Linked DNA regions of Coturnix japonica. The protein of the gene in region 1 purifies or fractionates together with the protein of each later gene. This does not show direct contact. Links are inferred from orthologs where the notes say so. Each region holds a gene or a part of one and is shown on either strand. Other genes may lie near its edges.

Region 1 (4,829 bases):
ATGAAGTAGAGGCATTAGGTTTGATAGCAAAGTGATTTCATTAAATCAAATTCAGATACTTCTTAAGTGTTGGAAATGTGAGCGTTACAGGAAGAGCCTGAGAAAAAACCCTCAGTGGAGTGAACTCTGCCTATTGTTATGAATTTCTCAATACAGGAAAAAAAAAAAAAAAAAAAAAAAAAAAGAACCAAACAGTGACTCAGCTGGGAAGACTTGTAAAATCTGCCTGGAATTCTCCTCAGAGAGAGGGCAAGATTTATCCAACCCAGATGTACACGTCGGCATCAGCAATGGTTACCTCAATTAATCCTACGGCCAATGGAGAGCAGCGAATACTCTTCAAGGACCCTCAGCCTCATCCCCAGGCAGAGCTGTAGAATAAACCATCCATTTCTTCTGCACGACTATCGAGAATCCCACAAATTATTAGGTCAGATGTGCATTTACAAAATTAGATGAAGTAAATCCCACAGAATGTTTCAAATGACCCCTTTTAAAGCTCTATTTTGTCCACTGGGTATATTTCATTTCATCATGCCATGATACCCCTAAATTCAGCTGAAAGGAAAAAGCAAGCAAGCTCCTTCACACTGACATTTGCACTCTCCTGTGTAATTTCTTTGGCTTGGAACAGAAAACAGAGGGAGCTTTTACACAACAGCCACGTAAACGTGCACAACTTGCAGACACACTGAGCCTCGCTCAGGAGCACTCAATGGCTCACAGACATTTGGAACCACTATTTATTGTATCACGGCTCACACAAAACACCCTCACTGGTACAGAACCACGTTCCCACAAGGATTACAGCCCGCGCCTCCGATTTTATCAAGAGATGAGGCCTGGATCTGCTCAGCTGCAGTGACGTCTCTGTTCTTAAGGGCCACAATCACTAACAGTATGACAGGAATTCAGGTATAACCTCAAATATTGCCATAGGAATCATCTCTGCAGGACGTTTTCTTGATTCATCTCCTTCCAGCAATACACACGCACTGGCCAGATGACACTTCTATTCAATATTCATCATCTCAGCTCTCCAAATCCCAGGGTAACAAACCAGAATAAATCATTGCAATGAAGCCACGCATCTTCTAGAAAGAATCAAATGAATTCCAGTTGTGAAGCCCTATCTCAGTACGTACATAAAGCCTTACTGTACTGGGGAGTGCACAGCGCTCGTCGCAGACCGCTGACTCATTCGAGATCTTTTCCTAGAGGTTCAAAAAAATAGCAAGGCATCCATGCCAAGTGCGAGTACTTTGTATGCCCTCCATATACTTCCCTCCCTCTGAGCTTTTCCCTTTTCTTTTTGTAATATCTGAATAAAAACTGCAAAAAAAAACCAACCCAGAAGTGTTCTACTGCATATGCTGTCGTTTCACGAAGTAGGAATACTGAAATAAAGAATTCCCCCTACGTGGATGGCAATGTGAAAGCAAAATGCTCATCCGCCTGCTCAACACCAGCAGGATTCTGAGGCAAACTTCTGCACAGAAAGCAGCAGCGCAAAGAGCTGCGACAATTACAGAGGGCTCCTTTCTGCACACAAAGGACAAAGATCTAATACCTCATCGCCGCCACCACTACTGGCTGCAAGCACAAAGTGAGTGCGTTACTGGAAGCTGCCCAACGAGTAACCATAGGAAGGGACAATCAGTCATAAAATCATCGAATCCTTCGTAGGAATGGACCTCTGAAGGCCATCTAGTCCAACTCCCCTGCAATCCCACAGGCCCGGCCAACACTCGCTCCTTTCTTCTCCTCGTGCCCAACGAGCTCAGCCCTGCACCGTGTCACGGGCAGACCCGCGGCGCTCAGAGCCACCGGCTCAACCACCTCCCCTCGCGCTTTAAGAGCACGGGCACCCTTCTCGCCCAACGTCTCCGAGGCGAGACGGCTCGCTCTCATTTTATCTGCCCCGGAGGCAGCGCACACTCGCACATAACCGCTTTCATCGCACGCTTTTTTCCGCCCGAAACTTGAAGGATGCCGCACAACGGGTCACATTCGGAGCGGCGACGAGCATTAAAGGCCCGCACACGGGATCGCCCCTTTGTTTTATCTGCTCGGGCCTTTCCCGGCGGCGTTTTGCTGGTGATTGATGACCAGCCGCGCTCCCCGCCCCCCTCCCCTCCTCCTCCTCCTCCTCCTCCTCCTCCTCCTTCCAGGCCGCCCCCCCACAACGTCTGGGCGAGGGGCGGCGGCCCCCCGGGACAGACTCTCCCCCCCCCACCCCGAGGGCAGGGGGGGCTCCGAGAGGGTCCCCGCCCCGCCGGGTATTTCCGCAACCGGGCTCGGCCCTGCGGCTCTCCCAGCACCGGGGGGAAGGAGGAGAAAAAAAAAAAATTAAAAATAAATAAATAAATAAATAAAAATAAAGAAACCGAACCTCCTCCGTGCCCACCGCCCCGCACTCCCCCCGCCCGGACCTTGTCCGCAGCCCCCCCCGCCCCGACCCCTCTCTCTCTCCCAGTGCCGGCCGCCCGCAGCGGCGCTACCCGCCCCCCTTCCTCCCCGTCCCTCCTCCCCCTCTCCTGCCGCAAACGGCCATTTCCATTGTGTCTCCGCCGCGATGCTGCCAAAGCCGAGCGGGGCCGGCCCCGGCCCCCGCCAACCGCCGATCCGACGTAAAACGGCCCCGGTGGGGGGGAGCCGCGGCACCCCCTCTTTCCCCCACGCCCTGCCCGCAGCCCCCCGCGTTTCCCCCCTCACCTGTGGTGAGCCGGGAGGACACCTCTCCGAAGGGCGAGGGCTCCATGCGCAGGTATTTCTGCGGGGAGGCGAAGGAGGAGGAGGAGGCGGCGGCCGAGGCCGGGGCTGACAATGGCGCACATCGCCTCCGCTTCGGGGACGCCGGGCTGAGCAGCGGGTCGAAATCCAGAGTCCTTTTCAAAGTGGCGCCGCACGCCATGGCGCCGGGCGGCGGCCGGGCCGGGGAGCGGGGCTCGGAGACGGGGGACGGGCGGACGGAGAGGAGAGCGGCCCTACACGGAGGCGCCTTCCTCGCTGTGTGGGGCGGGAGGGAGGGAGGGGAGCGAGGGAGACGGGGGAAGGAGGGGGCCGCTGCGTCAGGGCCTCCGTCGCCTCCCTATCGGCCTCTCTCAGGGGAGCGGCCCCTGCCCCCAGCGGCTCGGCCGGCCGGATCCCCTGTCGCCGCCCGTCCCGCCGTACCCCGCGCTCCGGCGGGGCCGATTCCGCCCGCGGAAGGTCGCGGAGCGGCCGCTGGGCCGAGGGGTGAGGAGCCGGGCCCGGTTATCCGGCCCGCGGCCGTCGATGACGAGCGATGGCGGCTGGGCCCGAGCGGCGGCGGTGGCGGCGCTCCCCTCTGTGACTCCCGCACCAGCAATATGGCGTCAATAACAACGCCGAGGATTCAAAAACCAGCCCCCCGCACTGCGCCTGCGCACCTGCCGCGGCAGGCGGCCGCGGAGGCTCAGGGGAATTGTGGTTTCTCCTCCCCTTCCTCGCCAATCAGCGGCGGGCTGAGCTCTGGGGGCGGCGGAACTACAAATCCCGGCGTGCCCCGCGCCGCTCTGCCCGGCTTCCGGGTTCTGATTTAAATCCCCCTTCAGCGGCGGTCGGGTGTGTTGGAGGGCGGTTGGGGGTGGGAGCGAGATGGTGGCGCCTGAGGGGCTCGGGGCGGGGGGGGGGGGGTGTTCTCCACAGGCTCCGGGGCACGGCGAGGGGCAGGGGGACACGGTGTGTGTGCTAGGCCCTGCGGCACGGCTGTGGGGCTGCTCGGACTCGTGTCGGCAGCTCCGGTGTGGCTGCAGTAAGGGCCAAGTGCCATCATGTGAGGGGAGAGCAGGGGCAGAGATAGCAGCTGAGGGCTCGGTTAGAGCCGGCCGTGCTGTGAGCAGCCTCCAGGCTTCAGGCTCCATTACTGACAGAGCGCTTGTAGCTCCAGCCTTATGTGGCAAGAGCTGAGCTCCTTCCTGTTTCTAATCGAAGGAAACTGTGTCACAGTTCAGCACAGGGGAAACGCCAACAGGAGCTGCTAGGCCTTAAAATGCATGTAACTTCAGCTTTTATGAGCCTTAATCTAAGGGTTAGCATCGAGATGTTGTCCTCAGAAGACTAAACAGGGAGCGTTTTAATGCTTTTTGGGTCATTATTATCTGTTATCTTTTCCTCTGTACAGAGATACTCGGAATATTTCCTTAGTGAGGAGGATGCTGACAAGCCTTCCTAAAACAGAACGAGGCTGAGGAAGTGCACTGATGTTGTTAGTGTTGTAATTGTCCAACTATTACTTTACCGGTATAACTCCTTCTGTGCATGCTCTTCTTAGGAATAATGATAGCTGGTTTTCCTTCCATTCATTTAATTTGCAATTTCCATTACATTTCCCTAAGCAGATAAGTTTCCCTGTATTCATGCAGCAGTTTCATGTATACTTATTGAGCGCCTCACCAAGCAAGGCTGAGGCTGAATTGAGGAACTTGTTAGTCACTCAGCATGTGCATGAGGCAATTCCTTAGTTTGGAGTGTGCTGAGACTGCCACTACTGCCATCATCTGTGTACTGAGAAATGTCTGTGTTGGGCGCAATGTTCATAGAATCATCTGAGTTGGAAGAGTCCCTGCAATGATCATGAACGAGCATGGTGCCCTGGTGGCCAAGAAGGCCAATGGCATCCTGGGGTGTATCAGAAGGGGTGTGGTTATAGGTCCAGAGAGGCTGTCCTACCCCTTTGCTCTGCCCTGGTGAGGCTGCATCTGGAATATTGTGTCTAGTTCTGGGCCCCTTAGTTCAAGGAGAGGGAACTACTTGAGAGAGTCCAGCACAAAGCCATAAGCAATGATAAGGGAGTGAAGGATCCCCCT
Region 2 (4,943 bases), on another chromosome or scaffold:
CAGCCTTGCTGTGTACACGTACCTGTCAGCACTCTCATGGCTCCATGCACCACGTTCACGTCTCCACTAACCAGCATCTCCATCAGGAGGTTGAAGAGCTCAGGCCAGGCTTCAGGCCAGTCCCAGTGGGCGATTGCTGACACTGCGTAGGCAACACTCGAGCGCACTTTGCTGATGGATTCTCTCAGCCCATTGGGTAGGAGCTCTCTAATAGCAACTTTTGCCTGTAGAGAACCACAGTGTTTAGCAAAACATCTCCAGACCAAACCCTGCAGACTGCACCCTGTGTTTCTTTTTAGGGAAGGCTGCTGGGTGCGTTGTAATGTAGTGCTCGCCTCATGCAGAGCCCTCAGGCAGGAACACAGCAACTGCTGAGAGCTGCAACAAGGCAGGACGCAGACATGGATGGAGGACACCCAGGGCTTGTTGAGATAAATACTGGTTCCAATGTCAGGGCCTGTGCTTGCTTTCTTTGGAAGATTTGGGTGAAGGAGAACCAGGCACCCAGCCCAGAAGGGACAGAAGGAAAAAGGGCAGTGCTTCTGGGGCACCATTCCCAAGATCTATTTCAGAGAACCAGTTAATATTCTTAGTGGATAAAGCATCTTAAACCAGGAAACACAAAGCAAAGCCTTACCCTCTCTGTGGTCTCTGGAGGTCTAAACTTTTCTGACTGAGAACACCAGTGAGTTTCCACATACTGTTTCAAAATGACGGATGCCAGCTGCGTTAGAAGAGAGGTCACAAATTAGGAACAAATCTCATAACCACAACAAGCACCACCCCCAACCCCTCAGCTCAGCCCCCCCCCCCATCCCATCACACTGCTTGGACCAAAAAGTCCTTGTCACACTGCTGAAAAAGCCATAGCAGTAAAAAGCTGAACTGATGGCCATTCCTCACACAGCGACAGCTTACACACTGCTGACACCAGAAGGCAGCTATTTCTCACCTCTACAAGAGCACGAGATATAGAGCACATGGTAACCACAGAAACACAGAACCTACACCTCCTTTGCAAGGAGGAAAACACCAACAGGAAAAGCTGTGGCAGAGAGAAGAGGACTTTTGCTGCTGGTGCCCACTGTGCACAGCCAGCACCACACTGGGCAGGCCCAGAAAGTGCTGCTTTCAAGAAAGGAAAGGTCAGCACACCTGGATGTGCTGAAGGAAGAAGTGATAAACCCATAGAAACTAAGGGAAAATGGAGGGCCAAAGGAAAACCACCTCCAGCTCCCCCAGGACACAGTGGGAGGCCCCACAAAGCGCAGTGCTGCCCATGTGTGTGTGAGCTCACCTGCCGGATGGCCAGCGCTCCCTGTGGATCCACTGTCAGCTCTGCCAAATGGACACCAAACTCTGCAACACAGAATAAATGCTTGTGTCAGAACTTTCATTCCCACGCAGGGAAACTCACCGAGACTTTAGGGGGAAGACACAATACCAACAGTGTGACTCATATGTAAGATGGAGAAGACAATTCTAGTGCAGAGCTTCTCACATAAATTGCTGAGCATTCATCCTCCCCTGTGCTCTCTGCACAAACTTCATTTGTTGTCTCAGCATCTCACTTCTTTCCCTCGTGGGTTAAAACCTTGCAGCTCAGGTTAACAACCAGCACAGGCTGAGATGTACTCGGCTCCCCATGGCTGCAGCTCTAACTATTCATCCCTGGGTCAGGACAGGGCTGTGGGTGTCCAGGTGTGTGGTGGGGAGTGGGACCAGATGGCCTTTAAGAGCCCCTTCCAACTCAAACTGTGACTCCATGAATTTAATGGTTGCACTGCCCTTGTTTTTACTTCCAGTGTTCTACCTTTAAAACATGCTCAATGCCAGCATATTTCTGGTTTCTTTATGGCACTTTAAAGCGCTCCTGACTCACGTGATCTACATTTCTTTCCCACAACAACACAGTGCTGCTCTTGCTCCTCCTCTTAGCATCTGCAAGGAGGATACGGCTCGTTCCTCCTGTGCTCCTCGACTCCCAACAGCACAAAGTAACGCAGATGAATGGAACCCAGAAGGCCTCCAGCCCACCCTTGTAGCAAAGCAGCATCAGCAGGGTCAAACCAAGTTGCTCAGTGTATTTTCAAGCTTGGAATCAGCAAAGCTTCTCTGGACAGCGTGCTCCAAAGGCTGGCAGTGCTCATGGAGGACAGCACCCCCGATCCACACAGTCTGAACCTGTTTGGAGCCACTCCATGGGAGCAGCCTGGTGAGCCTCCCCCAAGCGAAGGCATTAAAGCTTCAGAGCTGTGATGCCCTAGGGAGGACAGCAGTGAAGTGCAAAGTTACTCTGGGATATCTATAAAGCTGTGACATGTAGATGATGGGTTTGGACTCAGTGATGCTCTCAGGTCCCTCCCAGCTTGTGATATTGTGACTCCATGACTCCATTCCTCGTCCCCTGGATCTCCCTGATCCATAGAGCTCAGCTCTGCCATGTTCCTGCCCATCCCACACAGCACTGCCGGACCCGTACCGCTGCACCACCACCTCTAAACACCCAACAGCCCCGTTGGTAACAAACTCATCTCCCTGTACTGCACCACGGGAGCGTCACACACAGACCACAACAATAAACTTTCCCTTCATCCTCACGTCCCCTGGGAGCAGCCCCGGCCAGTCACACCCCCCCACCTTCCTTCTCTTTACCGTCAGGTTCCTCTGTTGACGTTTCTGAGCTGACAGACCTTCAGGCGGCACGAAGGGCCCCTTCAGAGCGGGCAGGGGCGGCAAAGCGCCATTAGGGCCCGGCCGGACCCCACAGCGAGGCCGCACGGGGCCGGTGTGCGGTTGTTGTACAGCAGACACCGGTGTAGGCCACACACCGCTCCGTGCCCAGCCGTTCCCCGCCCCGCTCCCGCTCATCGCTGCCCCACACGCGGTCGGGGCCTCCGTGGGCTCCGCTGTGGCGGCTCCACCCCCCGCGGCGCTGCCCGTTCCCGGCCCAGCTCCGTCCCCACATCGCCCCGCTCCTCACACAGCCCCGCGGCGCGGCCCGGCGCTCACTCACCCTCCGTCACCTCCAACACCTTCACCTGCTCCTCGGCGGCGGCTCGCACCGCCTGCACCGGGCACAGGATCCCGGTCAGCGTCTCCACCAGCGCCTCCTTCAGTCCCTGCGCTACCGGGCCCGCTCCGCCGCCTCCTCCCGCTCCTCCCGCCGCCGCCGCTCCCGCCATCGCCCCCTCACGCTCCGCCGCCGCCGCGCGGGATACGGGGCCGCCGCGCGCCAAACGCACGCACGCACGCGCGTCGCGTAGGGACGGCACCGAGCACAGCGCCCCCTGGCGGCCAGGAGGACGAACTGCAGCGGTGGGCGGGGCGGGGTGCGCGTGTCCGGTATGCGCGTGTCCGCGGCTGTGCGCGTGTCCGAGCCCCTCCCTCCCCCCCCACACCCCGAACCCGATTTTGAATGGGTTCCCTCTGTTTTGGAGCAGCTCTACAAACACCATCTCATTTTATAACATAACCAGGGGTTTTTATTCCACAATATAAACTGCAACGTTTGATACAAGCTACCCAAAAAAAAAACAAAAAAAAACCGAAAAAAAAATAAAAGGAGAGAAAAAGCCAAAATACAGCTGTGGCAATTTACTTTACAGAGCTTTTTTTTTTTTTTTTTGTTTTGTTTTTAATCCTTTATGTCTTCTACATCACGGCCCCTCAGCCACACTATGGGATCTACCAGCTGCCCTCTGTACATCAACCAATGCTACAAGCAACACGCCGACCCCCCCCAGCTGTCAATCAATCAGGTCGCTGAAACCAGACATAGAAGTTATTGCTCAGATAAATAAACCTAAAGCTACCGAAAACAAAGGGGGGGAGGGGAGGGAAAAAAGGGGGAGGGGGGGGAGAAACAAACCAAAAAACCCAAAAGCTAAAAAGTCTTCTGAAGGGTGAAGAACAGAGTAAACAGGGAGCTCCTCCCACAAGGAACGACCCCGCGCTGTGGGGCTGCACATCCCAGAGGTATCGATGCTGTCCAAGGGAAGGAAGGTGCCCCTTCCCCCATCAGTGCCGTCTGAGTCGGCCCAGACCCCGCCAACCCCCCCCCCCAACCCCACCATCCAGCTCCTGAAACCTCCACAACCACAAAGAGATCAAAGGGGAGAATACAAAAAGTGTCAAAAAAAAAAAAAAAACAACCCAAAAAAAACCCAACAAAACAACTCGTTTGGAGTTCTGGAAAATGATCCCGTGAGGATACAAGTAGCACCATTTGCAGCCTGGTTCTCCAATGGAAAACTCCACAGCTCTCTCTGCTCCAGTCCTGAAGGCTCTGCTGGCACTTTCACTTTCTGTACGGGGAGCCCTTCCCGGCGCAGCTGATGCAGATGTAATCCTCCTTCTCAGCCATCTCGGGGGAGATGCCCACACACACCTGGTGGAACCATTGGTTGCAGCTGCCGTCGCATTGGACCCAGTCCACCTAAGGAGGAATGGACACACACTGCGGCTCAGAGGCACTCAGGAGTTGCTTTTCAACCCCATTGATCCTAATGAGAACACAGCACCCACTGCACGCCAGGCACCCAAATCACTGCAGCCCAGCTCCATATGAAGCACAAACCCCCCTCCCATCCAGGGGTATGGATGGAAATGCACCCCAGCCCCTCACGCTGCAGGCAATGCCACCCTTCCCCATTTCTTAGCACAGAGTTCCAGGGCTGTGACTATATTCCAGGAGTGGAAGTGAACACGTTCCCACTCACCCCCCCCAGTCCCTTTGCAGCCCCACATTGCTGCTGTGATGCACGGCCCTGCTCCCCTTCCCTGCTGCTCCTGGGGCATTCAGGCAGGACCAGCCCCAGACTGTGACCCCTCCCCACCCTCACACTGCACTTTGCAGGCCAGCAGCTCCCAGCTCAGTGGTCCCACCTCCACTCACCTCGTCTCCCTCGGGCTGCAGACACGTCACTGCAGGGCAGATGGCA

Evidence for each region.
Region 2: the proteins of AKIRIN2 (region 1) and IPO9 purify together in Homo sapiens (affinity purification with mass spectrometry; 3 studies listed by BioGRID and IntAct, counting the BioPlex papers as one, with this or other methods). This does not show direct contact. The link is inferred for Coturnix japonica from reciprocal best matches to the Homo sapiens genes AKIRIN2 and IPO9.

The regions. Positions count from the first base shown.
Region 1 is NC_029518.1:69,560,667-69,565,495, reverse strand, and holds the start of AKIRIN2 (akirin-2), read right to left. Parts: upstream 3,362-4,829; 5' UTR 2,915-3,361; coding exon 2,716-2,914; intron 1-2,715. UniProt on the Homo sapiens protein: Molecular adapter that acts as a bridge between a variety of multiprotein complexes, and which is involved in embryonic development, immunity, myogenesis and brain development.
Region 2 is NC_029541.1:953,527-958,469, reverse strand, and holds the start of IPO9 (importin-9), read right to left. Parts: upstream 3,206-4,943; 5' UTR 3,186-3,205; coding exon 3,017-3,185; intron 1,360-3,016; coding exon 1,298-1,359; intron 725-1,297; coding exon 638-724; intron 225-637; coding exon 23-224; intron 1-22. Other genes in the region: KDM5B (lysine-specific demethylase 5B), read right to left, coding at 4,301-4,438, 4,898-4,943. UniProt on the Homo sapiens protein: Nuclear transport receptor that mediates nuclear import of proteins, such as histones, proteasome and actin. Serves as receptor for nuclear localization signals (NLS) in cargo substrates.